Linked DNA regions of Rattus norvegicus. The protein of the gene in region 1 purifies or fractionates together with the protein of each later gene. This does not show direct contact. Links are inferred from orthologs where the notes say so. Each region holds a gene or a part of one and is shown on either strand. Other genes may lie near its edges. The genes, in order: Asf1a, Chaf1a, Ipo4, Tonsl, Ubn2, Nasp and Ubn1.

What was found.
Region 2: the proteins of Asf1a (region 1) and Chaf1a purify together in Homo sapiens (affinity purification with western blotting; 3 studies listed by BioGRID and IntAct, with this or other methods). This does not show direct contact. The link is inferred for Rattus norvegicus from reciprocal best matches to the Homo sapiens genes ASF1A and CHAF1A.
Region 3: the proteins of Asf1a (region 1) and Ipo4 purify together in Homo sapiens (affinity purification with mass spectrometry; 4 studies listed by BioGRID and IntAct, counting the BioPlex papers as one, with this or other methods). This does not show direct contact. The link is inferred for Rattus norvegicus from reciprocal best matches to the Homo sapiens genes ASF1A and IPO4.
Region 4: the proteins of Asf1a (region 1) and Tonsl purify together in Homo sapiens (affinity purification with mass spectrometry; 4 studies listed by BioGRID and IntAct, counting the BioPlex papers as one, with this or other methods). This does not show direct contact. The link is inferred for Rattus norvegicus from reciprocal best matches to the Homo sapiens genes ASF1A and TONSL.
Region 5: the proteins of Asf1a (region 1) and Ubn2 purify together in Homo sapiens (affinity purification with mass spectrometry; 3 studies listed by BioGRID and IntAct, counting the BioPlex papers as one, with this or other methods). This does not show direct contact. The link is inferred for Rattus norvegicus from reciprocal best matches to the Homo sapiens genes ASF1A and UBN2.
Region 6: the proteins of Asf1a (region 1) and Nasp purify together in Homo sapiens (affinity purification with mass spectrometry; 6 studies listed by BioGRID and IntAct, counting the BioPlex papers as one, with this or other methods). This does not show direct contact. The link is inferred for Rattus norvegicus from reciprocal best matches to the Homo sapiens genes ASF1A and NASP.
Region 7: the proteins of Asf1a (region 1) and Ubn1 purify together in Homo sapiens (affinity purification with mass spectrometry; 6 studies listed by BioGRID and IntAct, counting the BioPlex papers as one, with this or other methods). This does not show direct contact. The link is inferred for Rattus norvegicus from reciprocal best matches to the Homo sapiens genes ASF1A and UBN1.

Annotation. Positions count from the first base shown.
Region 1 is NC_086038.1:33,435,358-33,439,431, forward strand, and holds the start of Asf1a (histone chaperone ASF1A), read left to right. Parts: upstream 1-1,274; 5' UTR 1,275-1,340; coding exon 1,341-1,449; intron 1,450-1,490; coding exon of another isoform or gene 1,491-2,030; intron 2,031-2,258; exon of another isoform or gene 2,259-3,150; coding exon of another isoform or gene 3,151-3,215; intron 3,216-4,074. Other genes in the region: Mcm9l (collagen alpha-2(I) chain-like), read right to left, coding at 1,491-2,030. UniProt on the Homo sapiens protein: Histone chaperone that facilitates histone deposition and histone exchange and removal during nucleosome assembly and disassembly.
Region 2 is NC_086027.1:981,725-985,224, forward strand, and holds part of Chaf1a (chromatin assembly factor 1 subunit A), read left to right. Parts: intron 1-708; coding exon 709-935; intron 936-1,167; coding exon 1,168-1,336; intron 1,337-1,421; coding exon 1,422-1,502; intron 1,503-1,931; coding exon 1,932-2,024; intron 2,025-2,560; coding exon 2,561-2,816; intron 2,817-3,500. UniProt on the Homo sapiens protein: Acts as a component of the histone chaperone complex chromatin assembly factor 1 (CAF-1), which assembles histone octamers onto DNA during replication and repair.
Region 3 is NC_086033.1:33,094,442-33,098,695, forward strand, and holds the start of Ipo4 (importin-4), read right to left. Parts: upstream 2,801-4,254; 5' UTR 2,730-2,800; coding exon 2,661-2,729; intron 2,580-2,660; coding exon 2,493-2,579; intron 2,345-2,492; coding exon 2,265-2,344; intron 2,183-2,264; coding exon 2,141-2,182; intron 1,619-2,140; coding exon 1,489-1,618; intron 1,402-1,488; coding exon 1,222-1,401; intron 972-1,221; coding exon 906-971; intron 805-905; coding exon 703-804; intron 621-702; coding exon 537-620; intron 359-536; coding exon 194-358; intron 1-193. Other genes in the region: Tm9sf1 (transmembrane 9 superfamily member 1 isoform 1 precursor), read right to left, coding at 3,376-3,769. UniProt on the Homo sapiens protein: Nuclear transport receptor that mediates nuclear import of proteins, such as histones, RPS3A, TNP2 and VDR. Serves as receptor for nuclear localization signals (NLS) in cargo substrates.
Region 4 is NC_086025.1:110,238,598-110,242,837, forward strand, and holds the start of Tonsl (tonsoku-like protein), read right to left. Parts: upstream 2,801-4,240; 5' UTR 2,734-2,800; coding exon 2,709-2,733; intron 2,629-2,708; coding exon 2,533-2,628; intron 2,443-2,532; coding exon 2,300-2,442; intron 1,767-2,299; coding exon 1,583-1,766; intron 1,350-1,582; coding exon 1,220-1,349; intron 953-1,219; coding exon 781-952; intron 704-780; coding exon 589-703; intron 58-588; coding exon 1-57. UniProt on the Homo sapiens protein: Component of the MMS22L-TONSL complex, a complex that promotes homologous recombination-mediated repair of double-strand breaks (DSBs) at stalled or collapsed replication forks.
Region 5 is NC_086022.1:68,131,761-68,136,060, forward strand, and holds the start of Ubn2 (ubinuclein-2), read left to right. Parts: upstream 1-1,500; 5' UTR 1,501-1,744; coding exon 1,745-2,170; intron 2,171-2,192; exon of another isoform or gene 2,193-2,708; coding exon of another isoform or gene 2,709-2,747; intron 2,748-4,300.
Region 6 is NC_086023.1:135,316,792-135,320,995, reverse strand, and holds the start of Nasp (nuclear autoantigenic sperm protein), read left to right. Parts: upstream 1-1,404; 5' UTR 1,405-1,530; exon of another isoform or gene 1,531-1,886; 5' UTR 1,887-1,925; coding exon 1,926-1,984; intron 1,985-4,204. UniProt on the Homo sapiens protein: Component of the histone chaperone network. Binds and stabilizes histone H3-H4 not bound to chromatin to maintain a soluble reservoir and modulate degradation by chaperone-mediated autophagy.
Region 7 is NC_086028.1:11,005,002-11,007,466, reverse strand, and holds part of Ubn1 (ubinuclein-1), read left to right. Parts: intron 1-35; coding exon 36-125; intron 126-2,209; coding exon 2,210-2,259; 3' UTR 2,260-2,465. UniProt on the Homo sapiens protein: Acts as a novel regulator of senescence. Involved in the formation of senescence-associated heterochromatin foci (SAHF), which represses expression of proliferation-promoting genes. Binds to proliferation-promoting genes.

The DNA.
Region 1 (4,074 bases):
CCAGAGTGGCTAAGTACCATAAACAAGCAACATTTCCTCACGTCAGCCCTGAAATGGTTTCACAGGCATCACAGGCATCAAAGGCATGGAAGGGCTCCTCAGAATTTGTGGTGCTGCAATTTTTAATTTATGGGTGTTTGTTATAAATCTCTTGAAGAGCAAATGTCATATTATCTGGGTTTTCTCCTTATATTCCACTAATACATTTGTTGTCCTTAGGTCTTCTGACACTTCCATTTTTTCGACTTTTAACTTCTTTCTCTGCCCCTCCCCCACCCCATCCCGAAAACGACGGAAACCTCGCTGTAACCGATCACGTTTTCCCCATTTTAGTTCTACATCTATTCAGATCTGAAATGGGAACAAATCTAACGTACAGCCGAAGATCGCATATTTATTTTTTTCCGGTCTGCCTCCGTGTGTGTGTGTGTGTGTGTGTGTGTGTGTGTGTGTGTGTGTGTGTGAAAATCACCCGCCCTCGTTTTGTATCTATTTCACCGCACTATCGTGCCCAAGAACTTGAATTCCAAAATGGCCTGCTCCTTTCGAGCTGACATGGGCTATAAAATCCAATTTATTCCCACTGCAACCAGCCCTTCTCCCTGTTCTCTACCATAACGAAAAGCAGACAGCTGGGCCTGAGGAGTGCGGCAAAGAGCATCTTATCCGCTAAATCCAGCAGAGCCCGCTAAACTGCCCGCACCTATGGGGAAGTGTTCAAGGCGGGGAGAAACCCGGAGAACCCCAAGGCCCACGCTGCGAACACGCGGGGCCAGATCGCGCCCTCCCGCCACGGCCGCAGGCCCCGCCCCCTCGCGGGCTCCGCCCCTCCGTCCCGCCGCGGCCACGCCCGACGTGCGGCGCGGGCCCGGCGGGAGGGGGCGGGGCCTGCGCCGCCTCCTCCCCCCGCCGGCGGCGGCCTCCGCGCGGGCCTCCCAGCCCCTATTCCACTCACTTTGTTCTGCGCCTTTGTCCTGGTCCGCACCAGCAGGTGGAGCCGCAGTGAAAGTTTCCCGTCCGTTCCGCGAGCGGGAGCCCATCTTGCTCGCCGCCGCGGCCCTCGCTGGAGGAGGAGGGTCAGAGCTCGGGGGCAGCCAATCGCGGGCAACGCTGCTAGTTATCAGAGCAGAATGGGCTGTAGTTTAGTGAAATAGGAAAGCTGCAAAACACTGTGGAGTGCTGCCGTGTAAATAAAAAGGAAAAAAAAGTTTCTCAAGTCGCAGCTGCACGACGTCGGGCCGCGCCGCGCCGGGGCGGGGGTCTGCGCTCTCGGAGCGGCCGCGCGCGGGACTCTGTGGTGCCGCCAGCCCCGGCCCCATTGTTTGTGTTTTCTTCAAAATATGGCAAAGGTTCAGGTGAACAATGTAGTGGTGCTGGATAACCCGTCGCCTTTCTACAACCCGTTCCAGTTCGAGATCACCTTCGAGTGCATCGAGGACCTGTCTGAAGGTGAGCGAGTGGCGCCAGGCTGTCAGTTGCGGTGGCGGACGTTAAAGTTTCCCAGCCCGGCCTCGCGCGGGGTGGGCCGCGGCCGGCGGGAGGGCGGCCATGCGAGGGAAACTTGAAGTTGAGGGACGCCGGCCGCGCCGCAACTTGCGAGCAACTTGCCGGGCGGAGGGAGCCATGTTGTCAGCTTTGTCTGCAGCGGGCGGCGCTTGGCGGACCCGGCTCGCGCGGCACTGGCGGGGGTCGTGCGGCCTCAGCGGCCCCAGGGCCCCGCGGCCCGGCGGGGAGCGGAGCCATCTTACCCGGCGGCACGACGCCTGCTCCGGGCCGCCAGGGGCGAACGGGCCCGCGCCTTCCCGCCCGAGCCCCGCCGAGGCTGTCCTCGCGCCGCTCTCCGGCTTCCTCCACCAACCAGCGCGGAAGGCGGGCGCTGGGCTCGGCCCCTCGGCGCCTGGCTCCCGGGGGCCGCCGTGCTCTCCGCGGGCGCCCGGGATGCTGCGCGCCGCCTCCGGACCGGCGCGGACGCCTCTCCCGGGGAACGGAGACCTCTCGGAGAGAAACGGTGAAGGGTTAGGAAGTTCCATCCCACCCGAGAGCAAAAGCAGGGCGCTTAACCAATTCCAGGCACTTCATCTCTGGCTTCTAGAAAGTCTGAAAGACTCTCCAGAACGTGTGAAGAAGATGCAATTAAAATAACTCCACGTCCAGGCAGATAGAGAAATAGGAAAATAGAAGGCAGTCCTTTCTGAAGTACATTTTACGGTTTACAAAATGCGAAATAGTGAGGTAATACAGAATTTAGAAAGCTAAAATGTGAGCTTCTTATTCCTTTTCTTAGATTTTATTAAAATCAGTGCTTCATTTTCAACATTTGAGACAAAAAGTTTAACTTCATTGGCGTTAAATTTTAGTTAACTGGGAGGACATCTTGGGACTTGGAAGTATTTCGACAAAACGCCTTTAAGATTATTATCCGAATTACGACGAAAAGAATTTCTCTTTTAATTTAAAAGCTATAATCTCTTCACGTAGGATGTTAACTTTAATTATAAAAGCCATTACAACAAACCTTTAAAAATTGTAAAAAGGAAGTCACAGCCCTTTCCCTCAACTCCTTTGGCTAACCATCACCATCACTTAAAATGTACCCTGTTTTTAATAAGTATATAAAGTATAATGCACATACATCTAGTGAGTGGGACATATCCTGAAGACTGACTAAAGATTAAGATATAATAGTCTCTAAATGGACTGTGATGATTAATGGAGTGTAAGGGTGTTTTGCTCATTTCTCCATTTGAAATGTAATAGCATTTCCACATCAGACCCATTTCCAACACTGATTTTCCTTTTCCTTTTTTGAACTGCCAATTTACATACAAATGAGCAAATAAACAGAGTAGGATCATGGCTGAGTCCATCCTCTACTCAGTGCAGTGTTCCAAGCATCAGAAGTTCTTTACACCACAGGTGTTTCACTAATGGTGGCCTCCATTTTAGGTCCACGTTGTACAAGAAAGGTCTAGGATATTGTTACAGTCACCACACTGGATAGTTCGAAACCAGCCATCCGCAGAAACCAAACAAGGTTCCATTTTAGACTGGGATCCTTTCACAACAGTGGTATTACTCAAGTCAAGAATATGCCTTCCTCTAGCACACTTCAAACCAGGGCACCATTATTTTAAGGTATTTTAAGCTGAGTCATTCCAAAGCTGCAAAGGAATCCTTGAAAAAGCTGCCATTCCTGTATACTCCATCTAGAGGCTCTGTGGAGTAAGAAAATGGGAGTTGATTTATCTTGCAGAAGCTCTTTTCTAGGGTCCATACTTTTGTTGTACTGTGACTTTTAAAGTTACTGATCCAAGTACGAAATACTCTATAGGGAATTTTGAGTTTACGATTTGTGTCTACCTCCAGTGTACCAATTAGCCACCATTTATTATTTGTCAGTAGTCTTGAAATATTTTAACTTTGCTTTTAAAAGCTGCCTTGTAGTTTTGCTTCAGAAGAAGACGTAAGTTGTGTTCGCGCTAAATACAGTTATTTCTTTTATAGGACTTATGTCTAGGAGTAGAGCACATTAAAAAGTGGGACTTAAAGGCTAGTGAGATGGCTCGCCCAGTAAAGCTACTACCCATACCAACTACCTGGCAATCCCCTGCGTCATGGAGAGAACTGACTCCAACCAGTTGTCCTCTGACCTCCACATAGTGCCTACACACACACACACCATACTTAACATTTTTTAAAAGTGATTTTAAGTAGGGGCTTTATTATACTTGATCACCAAGCCTATACAAGTTTAATTGGCCTTCCTGCAATTTCTAGGGTTTAATACTGGCAGTGCATCAAAATTGAGCCTGTGGCTTTATCCTTTGAAAGATCAGGCCTGCTTTGATTGCAAAGGCTGTGTATTTTCTACTAGGCCACAGAGTTTCCCAATAATTAGTTAACTGACAGTTTCCTCGGTAGCATCCCTCCGGCCACACGTGGAGATACTTTCTGCCTGGGATTACCACGGTTAAATGGAAAAGCTAATTTTCAAAATAAATAAATAATTTTCAGCTCATAACTCTAGTAGTGAAACTGCTTGATAAATAAGCATTCCATCACATTCAGACCCAA
Region 2 (3,500 bases), on another chromosome or scaffold:
TGAGTGGCCCAGCCGACAGGGCATATGGTTGGACACAATCCCTGTTGGGCACTCTTTATTGTGTTTTCACCCAGAACAAAGGAACTGGCTCTGAACTCTGCCACATGCTGTCCCTGGGGCCTGAGCTGTTCCTTGTCCCTTGTTTCACCCATCCCAGTCAATTCACTAACCATTCAATTCACTCCAGAGCTCAGTGAGTTTGACAAACATTTCTGAAAATGTGGGGACCAAGAGGCACAACACATACACATAACAAAATGAATGGAGGTATTCCTCTTTTCTATAAGATTTTTGATTTTATTGGTATGACTGTTTTGCCTGTGTCCTCTGGAAGAGCAGCATTGCTTCTTAACTACTGAGCCATCTTTCCAGTCCCTAAGTAAATAAACTGTAAAAAAGGAAAAAATAAAAATCTGGAAGACAACTGTGTCAGCCCATGCCTGTCATCTCAGCAGGCTTAGATTTTCTGAGTTTGAGGCTGACCCAGGCTATACATAAGGCTGGGTCTCCATAAATAAGGTTAAAGCTATCAAGGTGGAGGTGGTTCTCAAGTGGCTTTGTTTGGAATGCATTCCTATCACTCCGAAGAAGGAAGACTCTGGAGTCTTCCAGCTTCCACGCAGCTCCCTTTGGCCACCAGGCAGCAGTGCACCTGAGCTAGCATGGCTTCTCACCTACTGGCAGTGCATTAAGTTCTTCCTATTGCAGACCCTGGCTGGCTCCTGTGGTAAGTTTGCCCCCTTTGAAATCAAAGAACACATGGTGTTGGCTCCACGGTGCCGGGCTACCTTGGATCAAGATCTGTGCGATCAGCTGGACCGGCTCCTACACCAGCAGAACGTGGCAAGCTCCTTCCTCAGTGACCTAAAGGGCCGACTGCCCCTGAGATCTGGGCCCACCCAGGTCTGTGGCCATGACACAGACATCATGAACAGGTGAGAGCTGGCACACCAGACCATAGAAGAGTCTGGCATGGAGCCCCATGCTGCCCTATGCTGCTGAGTCCTAGAGTCACCATCTCCCAGAGTGTCTCTCTTTACACGTTCTGGGGCTCTGGGGCACACCTTCCTGCACACCCAGGGTGCAGCAGGAGGAACAGGCCTGAGTAGTTCTGAACAGACAGGTCATGTGCAGCCAGCCATGAACACAGTATGGTCTGATTACCAGGGATGTGGTCATCGTGGAGAGCAGCAAGGTGGATGGTGTGCCTGAAAGGAAGAAGTTTGGCCGAATGAAGCTCCTGCAGTTCTCAGAGAACCACCGGCCAGCATACTGGGGGACATGGAATAAGAAGACAGCAGTCATCCGCCCCCGTAACCCCTGGGTCCAGGACAAAGTGAGCCTTGGGATTGGGGTTCCTCATGGGGGTGGGCTGTTCTGTGCTGTTTCACCATGATGCTCATGCCTTATTCTCTCTCCAGAAGCTTTTAGACTATGAGGTAGACAGTGACGATGAGTGGGAAGAGGAGGAGCCTGGGGAGTCTTTGTCCCACAGTGAGGGGGTAAGTAAACCCATTGAGTATGAATAGCAGCAACTACAGCAACTGCAGGAGAAGCCATCGTACACTCTTATATGGGGTGGGCTGTTGACCCGGTTGTTTTGCTCCTGCTTAGCCTAGTGACTGCTTGCCATCCCGGCGCCCCCAGGCAACATGGCTGTTGGAGCCACACTGAGTCCTACTAGTCCCTGCTTCCTCTGCCCACATGTACTGTTTCTGCCTTGCTCCCCAGCTGCTGACACCAGTGTAGATGCACACAGATTTACTGTGACGCGGAGGCTAAGCTAGGGGACATCCTGAGCCAATGTTGGGCACTAGGCAGGCTCTGTAGCCCCCTTAGCATCTGCATGGATGTATGTGTTTATATGTGGGACTGGACTGGCCTTCAACTCTGATATCTGTGTGCTGTAAGCTCTTGTCTTTCTCTTCAAGGATGAAGATGACGATGTGGGGGAAGATGAAGATGAGGACGATGGGTTCTTTGTGCCCCATGGGTACCTGTCTGAAGATGAAGGCGTAACTGAGGTGAGGGCTCCATTCTGAACTGATTATAGGGTGTTGAGGTGATCAGCTGCTTTGATTTAGGCTCTGGGTGAGCAGGCATGGGCTTTCTCTGCTGCATGGTCTGTAGATTTCCCCTAGAGTTCTAACAAACCACCACAGTTCCAGAAGGTCCTGTGCCCCTGTGAGCTCTCCCATAAGGGGCTGTGGAGAGCTTGAGTGGTATCCGTAGGTCCCAAGCTCCTAGTTGCAGGTTTAGGGAACCTGCATAGGATGACTGAGGTCAGACTGTCTGACCATGATGTTGGGCAGCTCAGGCCCTGCTGGAAGCCACATTGATCGGGGTGTTTCTGGGGTTGGGGATTTGGTCGCCTATTAACCAGGTCAAGAGGCTGTGAGGCTGGACAAAGCAAAACCACTGAAATATCCTGCCTTATCATATGATTAAAGATGTGAACTGACTTCTCAGAGTTGTCCTTCACTGCCACATCCTCTGTAGCTCATGCCACGGTGCCAGGGAGCGTGGGCATTAAACAAGGGTCTGTTCCATATCCTGCCAGGAGTGTGCGGATCCAGAGAACCACAAAGTACGCCAGAAGCTGAAGGCCAAGGAGTGGGATGAGCTCCTAGCCAAGAGCAAGCGCTTTCGCGTGCTGCAGCCTGTGCAGGTGGGATGTGTTTGGGCGGCAGAGGCAGCCAACTGCACAGGTTCCGACTTGAAGCTGCTGCAGCAGTTCACTGCATGCCTGCTGGATGTGACATCCCCTGATGAGCCAGAGCCCAGGGCCTCCAGGAGGGAAAAGAGGGACCAGCATAGTAAGTAGGGTACGGGAGTGTCCGGGAACAGCTCCTATCAGGGTGTCCTTGATGAGGTCACAAGTATGCAGAGCCTGTGTGTGGGTATCCGTCCACATGCAGCTTGTCTGCATGTAAAACTGACAGGGCCTTGGGTGCTGGGTACAAACTCAGGTTGTACATGAACCTGCCAAGTGCTTACCACTCAGCCATACCCCAGTCTTGCTATCCTACCCTTGACTTTTTGGGTTTTGTTGTTGTTGGTTTGGTTTTGGTTTTGGTTTTGGTTTTTTTGAGTCAGTGTCATTGTGACACAAGACAGGTCTTGGTTACCAGATGGCTTGCACTTTTCTTGAACTCATGGTGATTTTTTTGCTTCCAGCTCCTAAGAGCTTGACTTCCAGGTATAAGCCCCTAGGCATGGCTCCCTTGGAAATTTTAGTAGGACCCACAGCAGAATGATATAGTCAGTTTTGAGACCTGGACCAGAGTGCAATGCCACTCCCTCCCTGTCCTAAACCTGGGGACACTGGTGGCTCAGAGTGAGCAGCGACTGCTTAGGAGGAACATGAGGGCACACACAGCTGACCACGGGCATGGCCCAGGGCCACTGGGAAGTAGGCGTGTGGCTTCTTAGCCAACCGATGCCAAGTAGCTTTCTTTGAAGTGTGCCTTGCCAACCTTCCTTGGCAACAGTGAGGATGG
Region 3 (4,254 bases), on another chromosome or scaffold:
ATCCCTTCTCTGCTTCCTGTCCATGTGAATGGTTCTGGCTTGCTTCCTGGTTGCTAAGACCTGAACCACTCTGTCTGGCCATTCCTTTCTCATCACAGTGAATGGAAATCTCTGAAGCCATGAAAACACTTCCTCCCCTCAAGGTGCTTCTCTGAGGTATCTGGTCGCAGTGATGATGAGGCCAATATATCACCTGCACAGCAAAGTGCTTGGGAGTCTCCCCCATCAGCCCAATCTCCAAGTCATCGTCGTCAGAATCTTGGTCTTCAGGATCCAGTTGGCCCAGGGGTGGCTCCGCAGCCATTATGGGGAAGAGGGCGTTCAGCAGGGGAGGCAGGAGGCGGTTCTTTAGCAAAGCCTAGAGGGGAGGACTATTCCTGAGTGTCTTCCCAGACGCTCCCAACCACAAGTAGCCCAATCAGAGATTCCCAATCTCCAGGCAGGAACAGAAGGCTGGGCCAGGATGTGAGCAGGACCAAGACTACAACTAATGGAGGAGGCAGCGGGGTAGGATAGCATCCCTACAGGGCACTTACCTTACTTTTGACTTTGACCAAGAAAGTGAGGCAGCAGAGAATACGTACACGAATTGCTTCGCCAAGGGCCACATTCTTAGCCACCTATACAGACACTCAAAAGAATCAAAAACAAGCAAGAAAGAGGCAAACCAAGAAGCAGGGGCAGCACCCACCTGAGGCTCACCTCCAGGCAAAACGTGAGGACCTCAGAGAGGTGGGGGGTGATGATGGGCAACTCTGTCTCCAGCATTTCATCCAGGGCCTCCAGGGCCTCACAGGCCTTTACCTGTAGACAGGTAAGCCACAGGGTACTCTCTCCTCTAGGGTGCCAGGGTGGGTGTGCCTCCATTTTCCTCCCAAAAGGAGATCCTCCCCACCCGTCCTTACCTCATCTAAGGGGATCAGAGTCCTCAATGCCGTAACGACTTTGGGCACCAACATCCGTGCGAGAGACTAGAAGACACAGGGTGAGCTTAATCACATAAAGACATGCAGCCTAACCAGAAAGTGGAGACTTCCTCATAGTACACCATCTAAGGATCCAGCTAAGCCCCGCTAACAGTACTCCCTCAATCCTCAGGAAGAACGACGGCAGAAACTTTAAAGCTTTAAAGCATCTTGGGCCAAAACTTCTAAAAGCGAGGGCATGAAACCAAGAGATACAGGCAGTGACGGGGTTAAGGTAGGACAGTCAATGCCTTACCACATCATCTGGTCTGAGGTAGCGGGCCAAGGCAGTCAGAGTGCGCAGGGAGTAGAAGAGCACTCCGGGGAAGCTCACTTCACTGAGCGTCTCAATCAGAAGCTGAAGGAGCTCTTGCTGGTGGGCGTGGAAGGCCTCCGGCTGAGAAGACACCACCACGCTCAGTAGCAGCAGTCCTACCTGTCCAGGAGTGGGGAGTGAGAAGAGCGCTTGTGCTCTATCCAGCCTCTCAGTCCCTCCTTCCTGCCAACAGGGCAACGACAGTACCTCTTTCTCAGGGCTGTGGGCACTGTGAGTGCTATGCTGAAGAAGGTTCATGAACTGAGGCCAGCCTTGCAGGCCTTCCTTGCGAAAAATGGTGGCTGAGAGCTGGGCCAAGCTGACACTCACATAATGCCTGCAAAGAGAAGATTCATTCATCCAGAAACACCCTTTACCACCCTTCCCTTGCAAACAATGCCTCAGGCCCAAGGAATGGCCAGAAGAGACGCCTCTAGGTATGTGCACACAGTCTTTCCTAGGGCAGACCCCAGAAGATGACAACTGCGGGCGATGAAGGGAGGGTGGTACTGTCATTTGTCTTGTTCAGGACCACTGGACAGGCTGAATTCAGTCTTGTTTTCCCGATCTGGGTTTAGCAGATCATTTTCACCCATTCTCAGAAACTTTAGTTTTCTCTACCTTCTTTTTGTTTTTTGGTTCTTTTTTTCGGAGCTGGGGACCGAACCCAGGGCCTTGCGCTTCCTAGGTAAGTACTCTACCACTGAGCTAAATCCCCAGCCCCCAGGCTCTACCTTCTAGGCCTGAAATAAGTCTCTGATCCCTAAGTCCCAGTCTGGGACTGAAAAGGTAGAAGCCCAGAGAGTTATCTCAGTCCCCTATCAGTTAGGACCCCCAAGAGAGGGTGCTCCACACTTACTCTGTCTCTTTCTGCAGTGCTGTCAGGACCAGAGACTTGAGGCTGGAAGACAGGTGGCAAAGGCTTGGTACTAGGCCTGTCAAAAAGTCTAGGCCCGGCCCCTCCCATCCTAAATTCAGCCCACCTCTCCCGCTGCTCAGGTGCCAAGCGACGCCAGCGATTGCTCAGCCTTCTGCGGGTCAGGACCGCTGCAAACTGGCGGATCTAGAGTGAGAAGAGGTGGCCAGCCAAATGAGAATCTCGAGCAGTCAGAAGATGAACAGATTAAGACCGCAGGGGGAGGAGGCTGGGGCGGGACCAGGGGCACGGTGAGGAATTTCAGAATGTCGGCAAGGAGGGGCAGGTAACTCGCCTGAGGGTCGGTCGCTGATGCTAGCAGGTCGCAGAGCGCTGGCAAGGCAGCAGGGTCTCGAAGGGCGGTCTGGAGCTGCTCCGTAGCCTGTTGGGAGGCTGGGGGGGTCAAGACCGGGCCTTTCCCACAGCCTCCCCATCCCCCTAGCCCTGTTGGGCCTGCCCATACCCGGCGGATGCGCTCGGTGTCGGGCATCAGCAGCTCCTTCAGGATCTGTTCCAGACCCGCAGGCTCCATGGCAGCTGCCGAGCCGCCGCCGCTACAGGGCCGGGTGGGGAGGGGGAGGAACGGCACGTGGAGACTCCGACAGCAACTTCCGGCGGAAAGGGCGTTACTCTGCGTCTCTCCAGTCGCCTGGGTGATTCAGCTTGCTTCCCTTCAAAAACTCCTGCTGAAAACTGGTGGCTGGCGTCAGTCTGGGCTTCGGTCTGGCTGAGCACTCTCTAAACCACAGAAACAGAGTCTCGGGAACGTGAGTTCCCTGTGCCGACAGTTCCCAGAGTCCAGAGTTTGTGTGGCAGTAGCGGACTCGGGTTTTCAAAGCAACTGTGCATTGACAACAGGTTTCAGGTTTCTATAACTTAGACCAAAATTTCCAACTACAGGATCCTTTTTCTTAATAAATTTTATTTTAATAATTGTAAAAAGAAAAAAAAATCAGGACCAAAACATAAGGCAACTTAAAAAGTTCAAATATATATATTTCTTATATAATAGAGATTTTTAATTTCCAGGTCCTCCCCAAAGAAGGGAGGTCCAAGGGGTAAAGAGGGAAGGAAGGCGACAATGCCATCACACAATTCGGTCAGAAGAGAAGCTATCCAGTGAAATCAATGGGGCATGATGAGAGCAGGAGAAGAGCCGTAGTTCTGTCACGCAGAACTCAGTCCATCTTGAGGTTAACATAGATATAACGGATGAACTTTAAGGAACTAAAAAAGGAGATGGTGCCCAGCATGAGGAAGAAGACATAACCAGTCAGTAAAGAGTAGCCAAAGAACTCTACTGTCTGTACTGCCCCTGACATGTTGGACCGCCGAGCATAGTAGAAAACTGAGTAGAGGAAGATGAAGAGGCCAGTGGAGCCAACGCTTAGCACAGATCGCCACCACCAGCGGTAATCTTCCCCAGACAGCTGGAAGTAGGTGAGCGCAATGGAGATGCAGGCCCCCACGCTCAGCAGGATGGCGAAGACAAAGAAGAGGATGCCGTACAGCGTGTACTGCTCTCGGCCCCAGACGGTGGCAAAGATGTAGTACAGCTCCACAGAGATGGCACTGTGAAGAGAACAGACAATACACACCATTAAAGCAGTGTACAGCCACAGCAGGCTGAGCCAAACCCAGCCACACCTTCCCACGTCACACCGTGGAGGTCAAGGCAGCGTGAGGAGCCTTCTGCCCACTAGTTTAGTTTAATAGTTGCTCTCATTTCATGAACATCGTCCCTTACAGGCTGAAAGCAGACATCTTAACTAGACCAGGTGACATACATCTAATACTACTATTTGGGAGGCTAAGGCAGGAGGATTGCCAAGTTCAAAGTCAATCCTGGTTACAAAATAATTTCAAGGCCAGCCTGGAAAATTTAAGACTGTCTCAAAAATGAAAGGTAAAAAATGGGCTGAGATGTGGCTCAGTGGTCCAGTGCTTGCCAAATGATGCTTGAGGCCCGAAGTACACTCCAGTAGTACAAAAGTACAAAACGGGATTGTTTAAAAGGTACATAGCTGGGCTGGGGATTTAGCTCAGTGGTAGAGCGC
Region 4 (4,240 bases), on another chromosome or scaffold:
GAAGATCATTGCCCTCAGCCTCTTGCAGCTGCTGCTGCAGCCGGACCACGGCCAATACTGCCAAAAAGAATCTCGAGTGAGGGGGGTGTCATACAGCATAGGGCCCCAAGCACAGCCTACCCCCACCAGCCATATTCCCTCAGGCAGCGGCCTGAGAGCCAGGGAAATGGCTCAGCGTGACCATTGGTCAGAGTAGGTAGTGGGGATATTGACCACTAGGAACTTCTGAAGGTTAGAAGGGTAAGTATGCCTGGCAGCCTAGAACAGTGCTTGGTCTGAAGATCTGAACACTAGTGACTGTCACTGTCAGTCTCTGGGACACAGTATGACACCTGTGCTCCCATTTGCTAATGCTGTCTTGGGACAAAGGTCCAGTCAGTTTCTTCCACACCCTCTAGTGTCCTCCACACCCTGTGCAGCAGGCTTAGACAAAAGCAAGGGTCTTCAACTGACAGAAATCTACCCTTGCTGTCAGAGGCTCATGCCCACATTGCCACATCCCCAAGAAGCTGGGTGTCTCCTGCTGGGAGGGCAGAGCCCTTCTCCGACCCCTAGGGCTCTCAGTTCAGGGACCCCATGCAGCCTCACCATACTTGAGACTCTGACAGATAGCCACTCTCTGGTTAGGCTTCTGAGAGCCCAACCTATAGGCCTTCTTCAGGGCTCGTTTGGCAGCCAGAAAGTCCCCCAGATCTTGGAGCACCTAGAAAGAGGGGGAAAAACTAAGACCTGTAGACTCACTAAGGCCCAGGCCCAAGCGGACAATGAAAGGAGAGGTACCTGAGACACTAGCATGCAACATTCGCTTTCCATGAATCTCATCTTCATGGCACGTGCACATTCCCGGGCCCCCTCCAAGCAGCGCATGGCCTGAGAGTGCTGCCCTCCGCGCCAGTGGATGGCACCCAGGTTGTATCGGGCCCGGAACAGATCTTCATACAGATGGTTCTGCCTGTGGAGGATGAGGTAACAGGAGCTCAGAGTGTCCAGTGTCCACCAGCCTTGGAACAGTGGACCCCGAAATGCCTATGATATTGTTGATGTTCAACCAGTTACGGCTACAGACACCACACAGACCCTGGGCTCTACCATGCTATGGTTTCAGGCCTATATCTTCTTCTCCTCAGCCTGCAGCATAAATGTACATGGCAAACGAACAACTTAGGCAAGCTGCCCTCTCAGAAGGATCCCAGGCGACCACCCGCTCCCTCCTCCTCACTCAGCGAGAAAGATGCTCTTTTTGAAGTAGTTGTTGCACTGGGCTGTCTGCTGCAGGCTCTCACAGGTGAGGCCCAGATTGAGGTAGAGACGGGTCCTCATCTCACTCAGTTCCCGCTGGGTCAGCATCCCTGGAAAGCAAGAGCTTTAGGGACTCAATTGCCTCCTCTGGGTATGGGGTTTTCCCTTTATCCCACCCTTTTTCCATCTCTTATTGAGTGAGCCAGGAGTCTGCTGCAGATAGAGTATACAGGGAAGGGGCAGATGTCTCACAGGTTCAAGCTGGTGAGCAACTCAGGCCTTGGAAAGGGAGGACCTAGAATGCAGGATATGGGGAGGGAAAATCCAGGGAAAGGGCACCCACCCTCTAGTTTCTCATCCACAATAGCCAAACTCTTCTCAAAGGCAGCCTGTGCCTGCAGCAAGGAATCTCTTGATTGGCAGTGGTCATATACATCCAGATGGGTGCGGCCAATGGTGGCCCAGGCTCTCTGCAATTCAGTGTGGTTGGACAGGGAACCAGCTAGATCCAGGTAGAGATGCTGGTGCTAGTGTAGAAAAAAAAAGCGTGGGCTGGAGAGATGGCTCAGTGGTTAAGAGCACGGATTGTTCTTCCAGAGGTCCTGAGTTCAAATCCCAGCAACCACACGTGGCTCACAACCATCTGTAATGGGATCCGACAGCCACAGTGTACTTATATATAATAAATAAATCTTTAAAAAAAAGAGAGAAGAAAAAGCATTTGAAGTACCAGAGGAAGCTACTCTTATGAAAGAGAACCTTCTGTTTCCCAAAATTCAACAGAGTTGGCTACACCCATGTCCTATCTTTCCTGTGCAAAGGACTGTCTATGTAGCAGTGTTGTCATGGGAGACCACTAAGGGCTGCCTGGAGTGTTGCTTGCCATAGCAGTGGGTCCCGAGTCTTCTCTTCAGTTGTCACAAACTCATTCATCCCCGAGTCAAGAGCCGGGCAGCGCCCCGAGTAAGCATAAGGGTGTGACTGCCTGCCGTGTCAGTTGTCGCTGAATACTATTTGTATACTAGTCCTCACTCCTCAACAAGAAGTGAAGGCTCTGTACCTTCAGAGCAGCAGAGTAGTTCTCCATTTCAGCCAGCCGCTCTCCGATCTTGCGGTGGGCCACAGCGCAGCCTAGGGTGTCCTGGACACTCTCTAGCAGATGTAGCTCCTGCTGGTGCTCCTCTAAAGCTTCCTGGAAGCGACCTGCCGGAAGAGGGGCGTGGGGGGCTCAAGGTGCGCCATCACTCAGTCAGTCCCCTGCCGCCAGCCCTCCCTCTCACCACTCCGGCTCACCGTGGCTAGCTAGCAGCTCCCCCAGCTGGTGGCAGCAGACCGCCTCCTCGCACAGCTGTCCATTCCTCTGGGCCCTGGCCTTCGCCTTGCTCAGCTCTGCCGGAAGAGAGAATCAAGTCTAACCCAGGACCCGACCCACACCCTGCGTCCCGACAAGTACGCCCCAGAATACTCACGGCGAAGCTCCTGTTCCAGCGTCATATTCACACAGCCACCGCCGCCGCCGCCGCCGCCGCGAAAATCTGGACTTCCCGCGCTTCTCTGAGCCCACGCCCATTACCTCGTTCCACCCCTAACACGCAGGGCCCACCCAGTCTTCTGAGCGCATGCTTAACTCCGCCCCTCCGGTGGCCCAAGTGCTGTAGACCCCAGGCCTCCTGGGATTTGTAGTCCGACGAGCTCCAGCATGGCGGGATCAGAGAGCCCAAGGTCTGTTGGTTGGGATCTGGGCTTTCAAAGCTGCTGGCGGAGAATGCAGGTACCCAGGCAGGCAGTGTCCTTATTTACAGACCCCTTCGGGTGAGTTACCCGGACTACAGACAACGTGTGGGCACTAACCCTGCTGCCCTGTAGCCTACCTGACTTTGTTTTGTTTTAAGAGTAGACGAGCATGGTGGCATACGCCTTTAATCCCAACATTCAGGAGACTGAGACAGGCAGATGTCTAAATTTGAGGCCAGCGTGGTCTCAGAGCGAATTAATCCCGGAAAGCCAATGCTACACACACACACACACACACACACACACACACACACACACACACACACACACACACAGACACACACAGAGCGAGAGAGAGAGAGAGAGAGAGAGAGAGAGAGAGAGAGAGAGAGAAAGAGAGATTTTTTTAATTTCACGTATGTGTTTTACCTATATGTGTGTATGTGCACCTTCCGTGTGCCTAGAGGCTGAAGACACTTGAAGGGACGGGAGTTACAGTTTGTTACGAGTCATCGTGTGGGTGCTGGGAACCGAACTTGGGTCCTCTGCAAGAGTAGTAAATGCTCTTAACTACCGAGCCAACTTTCCAGCTCTCAACCTGCCTTTTTATTACAGGGGTCCTGTAATGCTACCCCCTTTCCTCTAGAAATTAAAGCACATACCACCTATTCTACCTACATTTATGAAAAAAACTTTAAAAAGCAAAACAGGTGTTCATATAGAACTGGCTGGACTCAGAGATCCCCCTGCCTTTGTCTCCTTTGTGCTGTGCTCAAAGGCCTGTATCACCACACTACACTTGTAAGTTTTACCTTTAAAGTTGTAAATTATTATCTTGTTGTATGGGTATTTTGTCTGTGTACCATTTGTGTGCCTAGTGTCGTCCATGGAGGCCAGAAGGCATCCCTAGAAAGGGGTGGGGAGGTCTGGAGGAGTTGAGGAGTGGTGCTGGGGAATGGAGAGATGGCTTAGTGGTTAAGAGCATTGGCTACTCTTCCAGAGGAATGGGGTTCAATTTCCAGCACTCACATGGTAGTTCACAGATATCTGTAACTCCAGTTCCAGGGGATCTGATACCCTCCAACAACCATTCACAGAGGCCCAACACCAATGCGGAGACAAACAAACAAACAAACAAACAAACAAACAAATGTATGAGTAAAGAAATAAAACTGGTGGTACACACAGTCATGAACAACCATGTGGATGCTGAAAATCAAATCTGGCTTTTCCCAAAAAAAGCCTTGGCCAATACTCTTAACCACGG
Region 5 (4,300 bases), on another chromosome or scaffold:
TGTGAGCAGAAAGGTCACTTCAGTCCAAAATAGGAGACCCCAATCAAAATCAGTAGTAGTGGAAGGAATGTTAAACATAAAATATGTCAAGGAAATATTGCAGCGTTTTAAAGAAGAAATTCATTTTTTTTTTTTTTTTTGGTTCTTTTTTTTCGGAGCTGGGGACCGAACCCAGGGCCTTGCGCTTCCTAGGTAAGCGCTCTACCACTGAGCTAAATCCCCAGCCCCTCATCATTTTTTTTCCCTTGTTGCCAGTTTGTTTTTTTCAGACAGGGTCTCACTATGTAGCTCTGGCTGGCTTAGAAGTCACCAAGTAGAACAGGCTGGCCTTGAACTCAAAGAAATCTGCCTGGCTCCAGAGTGCCACCACTTTCATTAAGAAGTGCTAGCTGACCTGCTTTTTTTTTTTTTTTTTTTTTTTTTTTTTTTTTAAATGTTGACAGTGTTGAAATGTAACAGCCTGTATCTTCCTGAGGCTAAATGAGGCTAAAGGCGTACATCTCCACACCTGGCTTAGAGCTAGCAGGACCTTTTGGGATGAACATTCCCTCACCACTTGGCATACACCTTTAGTAAGGAATAGAAGAGCAAATACTAAAAATGTCTGTGACGTCTCTTTGACTCAGCTCTTCAACATCTAATTTAGTTAATGCAATTAACAAGCGTGAGTTTCCTTGAGGATGTGGAAAGGGAGCCCTCAAATTCACTTTCTATTGAATAGATTTAAAGGGCCAATAGCTCTAGTCCTTTAAAATCTGAATTCCAGTTCGTTTCCCACGGGTGCTCCAGCGAAGCTTAAAACAACGCTCTTTCCTTTTTAGAATATGAGCCATGATTTTATTTTCCCCCAAGAGCATGTCCCCTAAAATAACACCAAACGCTGCCAAGACGTTCGAGTCTTCAAGAACTGTTCATTTGCCAGTTCAATTTCTCAACTGAGGCGCGTCACTAAGCGTCTCACCGCCATGTGCAAAGCGACTACGGAGAAGTGTGGGAGGCAGCGTGGCGCTTTCGGGAGGGGTCTGGGGCGAGTCTAGTCTTCGCCTTTCTACCCTGGACACCTCAGGTGACTGGGCAACGGACCGGCAGGCCGGGAAGACGGGCCGCCAGTCCCTCACCCCTTTCCTGGGTCCGCTAGGAATCCTCAGTTGACGACCCTGTTCCCCGACGCCGAGAGCCAGAGGCCAACGTCGGGCGGGACCCGGCGCCATGACTGGGTCGGTCCCAGGCACATCGCGACGCTCACCCTAAGGGATCCGCGAGCGTGCCTCGGTTTCCGGGCGAGAGGAGGAAATCACTCCGGGAACCCCAAACCCCTCCTTTGAAACCAAAGCATACATAGCGTCCCCGTTGCCACGGAGACAGGCCTATTTGTGACGTCATTTCCGCCGAGCTGTCTGGCCTCCAGACTGTTGAGAGGAAAAGAGGAAAACTGAGCAACAGCCACGACTGTGGACGCGAGCGTCTCTAGTGTGCGCATGCGCCCGCTCAGCGGCCTGCTTCTATTTATGTGGGGGATCCAACATGGCGGCTGCGGCGACCCTGGCGATGGTGGTGGAGCCCATCAGAACGTAGTAGCGGGGACAGGGACCTGGTCCGCACTCACGGTGGCGTCCGCGGGGACAGCTGAGGGTGCTGGAGGGAAGAAAAGTGACGGAGAGCAGAAGGAAAGGCGGGCAGGCACGCCGTGCGGCGTCGAGACGAGAGCCGGCTCGAGCGAACGCCGAGGGCCAGAACAGTGGGGATGGCGGAGCCGCGCAGAGTCGCGTTCATTAGCCTGTCACCGGTGAGGCGGCGCGAGGCCGACTTCGCGGGCGCAGAGCGCGAGCCCCCCCGACTGGAGCCGCAGCCGTACCGCGAGCCGGCCCGGGCGGAGCCGGCCCCCCGCGCTGACGCTCAGCCCCCGGCGCGCGACAAGCCGCTCCCCCAGCGCGAGGTCAGCCGCGCCGAGCCGCCCATGGCGCTGCAGCGCGAGCCCCCGCGGCCCGAGCCGCCGCCGCCGCCGCTGCCCCTGCAGACTCCCCCTCCGCGGGAGTCGGCTTCCCGGGCGGAGCCGCCCCCGCGACCGCCGAAGGAGACTGTTCGCCTGGAGCTGGTGCTCAAGGACCCCACGGACGAAAGCTGCGTGGAGTTCAGCTACCCGGAGCTGCTGCTGTGCGGAGAACAACGGGTACAGAGGGTCCCTCCCTCCCGGCCGCCCCACAGCCCGGGCGCCTCCGGACCCGCCGCCTGCCCGGGCTGCTCTGCACTTCGCTCGCCCCGGGGGTGGGGTGGCGGGGGCCGGGCGGCTAGACGGGGCGGGAGCTGCGCCGCTCGGCCAACCTGGGTGGCCGAGGCTGCCCCCTCCACACCGCGCCGAGCCGGTTTTCCTGTGCACCTTTCGAAACCTCAGCTTTTTCCTCCTTTTCCTTTCTGTTCCCCACACCAAATCCCGAGGCCCTGCGAGCCGTGCGGCTAGCTTCTTGTGGCACTTCCATCTGTCGTTCCGGTAGAAGGGAAGCGAAAAAACCTTGGGGGACACGCCCCCCGGTCTGAAGCGGAGAGATTGTGTGACCCCTTCTCGGCTCATCCTCATCCTTCCTCAACCCAGCTGTATCGTGCGCCAGGGCTGCTGAGATGGGCTCGTGGCCGGGTGGTTTATTTTCCTTGATTGAAGGGGATTTAAGAGAAATTAAACATTTTCAGAAACTAATGATTCCACGTTAGGAATGAAAAAGTGGATTCGTAATGTGGTTGCACTTGTGTTGGTAAATATTGTTAGCTTTGTGTGTGTTGAGTTTGTGCATATTGTCTTTGAATGGAAAGGTCTCCTGTCTTATTCGGTGGCTGTTCAGTCATATTATTTGAGTGGCTCTCATTAGTTCGAATTGGGAGCGTTTGTCCGTTGTGGTTTTGTGGAGAATGACGGAAAAAACATTCGCTCTTAATTTAAAAAAATTAGGAAAATATATCGGTATGCTTTTGAGGGAACCGGTGAACAATGGGGATTAGGACAGCGGTTTGTCGGTGACTGTAATTTTTATTGTTGTGGGTTGGTGATCTTTGGGGGGGGGAGATGGGAGAGAGAGAGAGACGGATAGAGGCAGGCAGGCAGACAGACAGAGGCATTGCCCTCTTGTTTAGAGACCATGCTCTTTATTAGACTGGGCTTTCTAATGGACTCCAGAATGCATTAGTTCCTTTCAACTATCTTTGTTGTTGCAGTGAAGGACTCTTTAGTTAAAAGTCTCACATTGACTAATACCATTAATCTGTGTTCATTTTGTGCCAGATAATCGTTTGATGGCTAGTTACAAGTATTGTGTGGCCATCATTACTAAATGTTTTCAGAGAAATTGAATCGTTAGGGGTAGAGACCATTTTAGTCACTTTCACGTATATTTTGTCCTGTAGACTCAATTCATCCATAACTCTTTTTGTTTTTGCAATATGAATATAATTTTTGTCTATTAAATTGGAGCATTTTCAAAAGAATTATCCTTGACTCATTAATATAAGTAGGTGTACAATTTTTACAATTTGCATAAGTTACAGATGCAAAACATTTTGTAGATGTGTATGGTAGCCTGTGACCTAAGCACTCTGGAGGCTGGGGTGGAAGGATGAAGAGTTCAGGACCACATACTGAGAACCTGCCTCAAAAAAACAAAAATTGGGCAACAAAATGGCTCAGCAGATAAAGGCACTTGCTGCCAAGCCTAGAGACCTGAGTTCCGTCCACATGGGGGAAGGAGAGAGCCATCTTGTCCAAGTTGTGTACACACACACACACACACACACACACACACACACACACAGGTATAATAAAACAGCAAGACAAAAGCCATTTTTGGTAGAAAAAAATTACATAATGCTACTTTGTGGTTTGTTGTTGTGCAAATAGAAAGTACCTACAATAACCTAGATTTTGTTTTGCTTTGAAACCGGATTTGGTGTCCTGGAATTCACTTTGTAGACCAGGTCTCCTACTCAGACCCCTCTGCCTCTGCCTCCTGAGTAGTGGAGTCAAAGGTGTACACTTTCCTGTACACCTGAGTAGGTGTTTTAGTCTGTTTTTAGATATATCCTACTTACATTTAACCTGCTGTATAGGCTCTGTGGTATTTACTGTTGTGTATGTGATCTTTCCTTGACCTTTAAAGCAATGTTTGGTACATGGCTATACTTTTATATTCTATGAGACATATGAGTTGGGTTTAATTTTTATGTTTGCTTCATAGATAATATCAATTTAGGGATTTATTGGTTCAATTTTCTCACTATATATTCAACCATTTATCTTTTGTTTGTAATTCCACAA
Region 6 (4,204 bases), on another chromosome or scaffold:
TTTTTTTTTGAGGCAAGATCTCACTCCGAGAAGCCTTGGCTGTCCTGGAATTCCCCATAGAGATTAGGCTGCCTCAACAGTCTCTGCCTTTGTAATGCTGAAGAAGATGTTTGTGAGCACACTGGATTTTTAAACAAGTCATTATTATTGTTATTATGGTTATTCGGTTTCTCTGTGTATCCCTGGCTATCCTGGAACCAGCTCTGTAAACCATGCTGGGTTTGAACTCAGGGAGACCAATCTGCCTCTGCCTCCTGAGTGCTAAGATTAAATGTGTGTGCTAGGGCTGAAGAGACGGCTTATCTGTTAAAGAGCACTGGCTATTCTTGGAGAATATGACAGCTCACAAACTATCTGTAATTCCCGTTCCAAGGGATTAGACACCCTCACACAGACATACGTGTAGGCAAGATACCAATGTACATCAAATACAATAAATTATAAAGATGTGTGCCACCATGCTCCAAAAAAAGTTATTTTTTAAAAGAATCCAATTATTTCTATTTATTCATTTTTAGATTTTTTTCATTTTGTGTGAGTAAATGCTTTACTCACATTCATATCTGTGTACCACATCATGCATGTGCCTGGTGCCTAACGAAGTGGTGAGCCTACTTGCGGGTCCTGGGAATTGAAACACGGTTCCTTGCAAAAATAACAAGTGCTCTTAACTTCTAAAGTAACTTTCCAGCCACACTTACTTTTATTTAATGTGTATGAGTGTTTACTTGCATACATGTATGTGTATTGTGTGTATGCCTAGTGCTTCTGGAGGTCAGAGGAAGGGATTGATTGAATGCCCTGGAACTGGAGTTATAAACGGTTGTAAAACAATATGTGTGTGGTAGTGGTCACCTGTAATCCCAGCATTTGCAATCAGTCAGGCAGATTTCTGTGGGTTAGAGGTTAGCCAGTCTAAATAGTAAGTTTCAGGCTAGCCAGGGATATACTGTGAGTCCCTGTCTAATATATATGAAAGAAAAAAAATAGACAGCTAAAATGTTTAAAGTGTTTTATGTCTTTTTTTTCCCCTGGAGCTGAGGACCCAACCCAGGGCCTTGTGCTTGCTGGGTAAGTGCTCTACCACTGAACTAAATCCCCAACCACTAAAGTGTTTTAAGTATAGGATTTAGATCAACAACTTGGAAATGGGTAGAGTAAGATGATGGCATCAACGGATTGGATCAGTCAGAGGGGGTGGATCTAAACACTCACATCCCTTTGCTCCTCTGAGTTTTGAATCAAGCGCGTTAGTTTATCTGTAGCCAATCCTAGAGCAGCATCTTCCTTCGTCAGTAGTTGCTGAGGCCCAGAGCCACGCGTCTCTCTGGTCAGTTCTAGCCGTTGCTGCTGTACTCGTGCCCAGCTCTTGCGTTTCCATCCGTTAAGACTGAGAGGGCATAGGGAAGACCTGTCACCTTCTCGGGTATCCCCGTCAGAAAGAAACCCTCGGGACTACTTTTTCCACAGTCGCAGAGACTCACTGGTTCCACTTAATTGTGGAATCTCTAGGCTGGCTCCCATTCAGAAGTAGTACCGAGATTTTGGTGCTTCTAACACGACTAGCCACAGAAGCAGGAAGTTGTTTGATTTTTGTTTTCTTTTTCCTTTCTATCTTACTTTCTTTTTCTTTTTTCTTTTTTAAGGAAAAACGGGCCAGGGCGGGAAGATAACCAAACGGGAAGGGATAAGGGGCTGTGTGTCCTTGTGACAGAAAGGTGTTGAATGCTAGCCCTTTAAACACGAGGGGGAGGATCCGGAAGTGGATGGGCGGGGCAAGGGGCTCTGGTATATAAGAGGGCCTCAACCGCGCGGGGTCTCCAATCTGCCATTTTCTCTACCTGAGTAAGTCATCGTTGTCTGGAATTCTCTCGTTTTCTTCGCAGGCAGTATACTGCCCACTGGCCCACCACCTCAGGGGAACGATGGCCACAGAGTCTACAGCCACTGCTGCCATCGCCGCGGAACTGGTTTCCGCTGACAAGTAAGCGGGACTGTGGCGAGCTTGAGGCATGGGCCAGTCCTCAGGGAGAGCTGGTGGACTTGGCTTCGCGGGCGGGACGGACTGGTGGGTGGGACAGCTGCCTTCCCCTAAACAACTGCGGGCGTTCGGAGAGGGTTGGTTTGTGGAGAAGTCCCACTTGCGAAGAGCTGGCGCACTAGCGTTAACGGCGGGTGGCTGGCGCCCCCTGCCCGGCTTTTCACGGCCGCCATCTTGCCGGGGGCAGCGGTGGCTGTCTCCATCGCCGGCCCCTTTTCTTCCACCCCCGGCCCGAGGTTGCCGGTAGGTAGGCGGGGCCCGGCTCCAGTCGGTTCTTGAACCTCTACCGGCCGCCCATTCCTAGGGTGCGCCTCTGTAGAGAGTCTGTGGACGAACCTAGAAATTGGCCAACAGATTTGGCGCCAAAAGAAAAAAAAAAGCCACACGAGGGTGAAGGCTTGGAACTGGGGACTCGGGTGGGTGGGGCCTCTCAGAGGGCGGGGCTTTGCACTCCGGCGGTCTTGCTTTTGGCTCTTAGGAGTGGGCGGGGCTTTTAGGAGGCGGGAAAACTCCATTGTTTGGAGTTAAGGCTGCTTTTGCCACTGCGGTTGGGCGCAGCGAATTTTATTCTATACTCCTACCAGGTTTACAGTAATCTGAGGGTGGTTACGGGACTGAAGCTTTGTAACTCTCATCCTTTGCAGAGAAGTGTCGTGGTTCTTTAGGTTTTCACTGAGTCGGAGATTTTGTAGCTTCAAGAGACATTTCACTTGTGTAGCGTCTAAGGTAAAGGCTGCGTGGAGCTTTCAGTCTAAGTAGTGTTTACTTGCTAGATGAGTTTGTTAGGCGAAAGGATCCCAAAGGAGGAATGACCTAATTTGAGGGCTTAATCAAACATGAACTATTTCGCCTAGTGCAGAGACACCTCCATCAGTTTGAGAAAAGAGTATTTTCCGTACAATAGGTTCGATTTTCCAATTTCCCATGCCTTTTTTAGGTACTTGATTCTATTTTTTTCTGTTTTTTGAGCATTTAGAAGTATTGCTTTGGGTAAAAGTAAAGGTGTCTGTGAGATATCTGAGTGGTTTTTTTTCTATAGGTTTATGTTTTAGTTGACATTTCACTCAGTACAATTTTATCAGAGATCATAGTGTCTTTGCTTACCCTATCACATTGGTTCCTTTCCTAGACGTTCTTGAAAATCAGTGGTTCTCAAACCACTCAACCATTTGGGAAGTGCAGTTTTGATTTTAGATTCCACTCTACTTCCTCTTCATTGATTTTTTTTAAATTTTTATATTTAATGTATATGAGTACACACACTATAGCTGTCTTCAGACACACCAGAAGAGGGCATCAGGTCCCATTACAGATGGTTGTGAGCCACCATGTGTGTGCTGGGAATTGAACTCTGGACCTGTGGAAGAGCAGTCAGTTCTCTTAACCACTGAGCTATCTCTCCAGCCCAACTTTTTTTTTTTTTTTTTTTTTTAAGGACCAGAGTAGATTAAGTTTGGGAATTCTGTAGATAATATTACAGAATGAATCCATTTATGGTGCTTTCTGAACAGCTGTTTGTATTACATCGGAGATCCTTTTTTTCCCCCCAATACTTTACAGTTTGGGAGTGCTTACCTAGCATAGTATCTTGGATTAGATCTTTAGCTTTTCCCCTGCCCCTTTTCTCAGTTTTTCTAGACAGCGTTTCTCTGTGTAGTCCTGGCTGCCTTGGAACTCAAGAGAAGAGTTTCTGACTGCTTTGGTCTCCCAAGTGCTTAGGGTTAAAGAGGAGTGTACTGCCCCCACCCAGCCTCCAGCTTTTTTTTTTAAACGACTGTATAAACAAACTTTAAAAGTAAAGTTTTCATGTATTCATTTATGTTCAGTTAAACTCTAGCTATTGGTGAAGTAATTCCCAGCTTCCTGGATGGGTATTTACAGAAAATTACATGCCTACTTATAAAAAAAAATCTACACATACTTTTTTTTGTTTTTGAGAGAGCATTTCTCTATATCTTGGCTGTCCTGGAATTCACTATGTAGACCAGGTAGACCTGGAACTCACAAAGATCTACTTGCCTCGGCCTCCCAAATGCTAGGATTAAAGTTGTGCATCACTATGTTTGGTCTTCAGACACACTTTTTTTTTTTTTTCTTTTTCTTTTTTTTTTTTTCCGGAGCTGGGGACTGAACCCAGGCAGGGCCTTGCGGTTGCTAGGCAAG
Region 7 (2,465 bases), on another chromosome or scaffold:
GTGTGTTTTGTTCTCTCCCCTCCTGTTTCTCTCAGGTCTTCTGGCTGGCTTGCATTCCAGCCCACCCCACACAGCGCCTCTCCCACATGCTGCTGTGTCTACCCATGTCCCACAGAGTCTGCCAGGTAAATGCCAGATGGGCAGTGTGCCATGCACTCTGTGCACCATGCCCCTCCACCCATAGGTGCTTTGCTGCTGGCGCTGTTAGCCATCTCTGCCTCATCATCACTGTTTTGTATTTGCTTTGTCTTCTGAGGCTATGGCTTTTTAGGTTCCAGAATAATAAAAACCTATACTGTAAGAGGCTTTTCCTGGTTTCTTATCAGAATGGCCATTGGGTCAGACTTAGCCTGTGTGACCGTATATGGTGGAGCCTGAGCATGAAGCAGGTGTTCCAACCCTCAGTATGCATTTAAAGAAAAGAAAGGTAATGGTGTTTCTTGTCCAGAGGTTAACCAAGCGCTCTAGGGCCTTTATGGTGAAATGCTGCATATCTGGCAGGCATTGTCAGATGGTAGAGACTCTTTGAAGAGTGAAAATACCCGTAGAACACTGAGAGACTATAGGACATGATTGTAAGGGAAGGACCTCTTTATCTCTGAAGCTAGCACAGAGCCAAAACAGAAGCAGCTTTTAATCCTCCCTGGTGTAAACCTTCCTTGAAACATATTTGTAAGCACACCTGGAATGAGGTCACTTTCTCCTGACAGAATGGCGCTTTTAGAAGTAGGCAGAGCCCTGGGTACATTGTCAGCTTGAGAGCATGAGAACAGGGAATAGTTGCCACAGACAGGCATCTTGTAGTAGGTGGACTGACTTCATCCTGATTCCTGGATTCTGCATAGAGATACTTCATGAAATTCTGACTCAAGAACCAGAGGAGAACTTGATTTTGACCTAGTATTTTTAGCACTTTAGACCTGTTTCAACCAGGTCCCTGGGCTATCAGGAGAGGACTGAATTTAGGGAACATGGGGCTTGTATAAGGCAAGAGTCAGATGCAGACTCTAAGGATTCGTATCTTTGACTTGCTTATGGATGGTGTGGTCCACAACTCATTGTCTGCTTTAGGATCTGTTTGTGGGTTCCTTGCATCCATGTCTTAAAGCTGGGAACTCTGCTTGCCTAGCAAGCAAAAGGCCCTGGGTTCGGTCCCCACCTCCGAAAAAAAGAAAAGAAAAAAAAAAGCAAAAAAAAAAAAAAAAGCTGGGAACTCTGTAGTGAATGTCAGAGGCCTTGATAGGGTGAGGGTGAATTTGCATTTCCACAGAAGGAAATCTTTGAGCCTTCTTTGAGGAGCAAAGCCAGTAGCAGTAGTCAACTTCTTTGAAGAAGCAGTCACATCTGAGGACTTCCTCTACACGGGTGGGTGGCTGCCATTTGAGTGAGGTGCAATGTGGGTGACTCCCCAGCTATGGAGAGCCTGTGTACGGTGAGAATGAGATGGTGCCACCTCCACTTGCTTTGGAAATGGGCCTTTTTGAGAGAAAGAAAGTAGTTAAAGAGAGACTCTGGGTCTGTAAAATTTTTAGCAACAAAGGGGAGAGGGATAGAAAGGGAAAGAAAAAACATTTCTTGAACCATTCTTATGTCTCCTCCCTGATCTTCCAAAGCTATCAGGATGGTTAAGGATATGTAGTTCAGTGGTGAGCACTTGCCTAGCATGTATAAAGCCCGGTGTCCATTACCAGTACCTCAAGGAGAAAAAGAAAAACAAAACATTGGGGGCAATCAGAAGAGCAGCCACGTAAAATGGGTTAGCAGCGTGAGCTTCATTTTGAGCTATGCTACAGATGTGGGGCTCTGCAGGGCTGGCAGGGATACCCTGTATCTGGCAGTGAGCTGAGCCTTGGTTCTGCTCTGCTTTCCCTTCTGCGTGTATCTGATGCTGTTACCTTTGCCTTTGTACCTCTGGGATCTGAGTACATTTTGATGACAAGAGAATGAACATTGTCTGAATTGTGTATGGTCATCAGGCCTTGCAGGGGCCCGTGTCATGTTGCAGAGTGCCTGTTCTATAGATGTGCTCAGTGGCCCCTGCCAGAAAAGTGGTAGTGCTCATGCGTGATGCAGGATGCTGTGAGCAGCAATGCACACAGCTGCTATTGGGGGACATTTGCTGCTTGTGTTCCCTGTGAAGTGTGTTTATGCTGCCTTAAAGGCACTGGAGCACTGAAAGAATGATCTGATTTTGCTTATTCTTTTCCAGATACTTCACAGCTTCATGGGAAAGGGCCTGTTGTCCCGAGGAAATTGTGACCACGTTGGAGGATGGAATTGAATGGCATAGGTCTAGGAGGAAGCCCAACATGTATGTCTCTGATAACAGACATTTGCTGTGCTCTTCTTGCCCACTGCTTTTCTTCTGGAGCAGGCATGAGTCTGAAATGGAGCACTTCTTAGCACTTCAGATGGGCCTCCAACCAAGGGCAGCTTCTGCTGCTCACAAAGCACTTACTGACCTG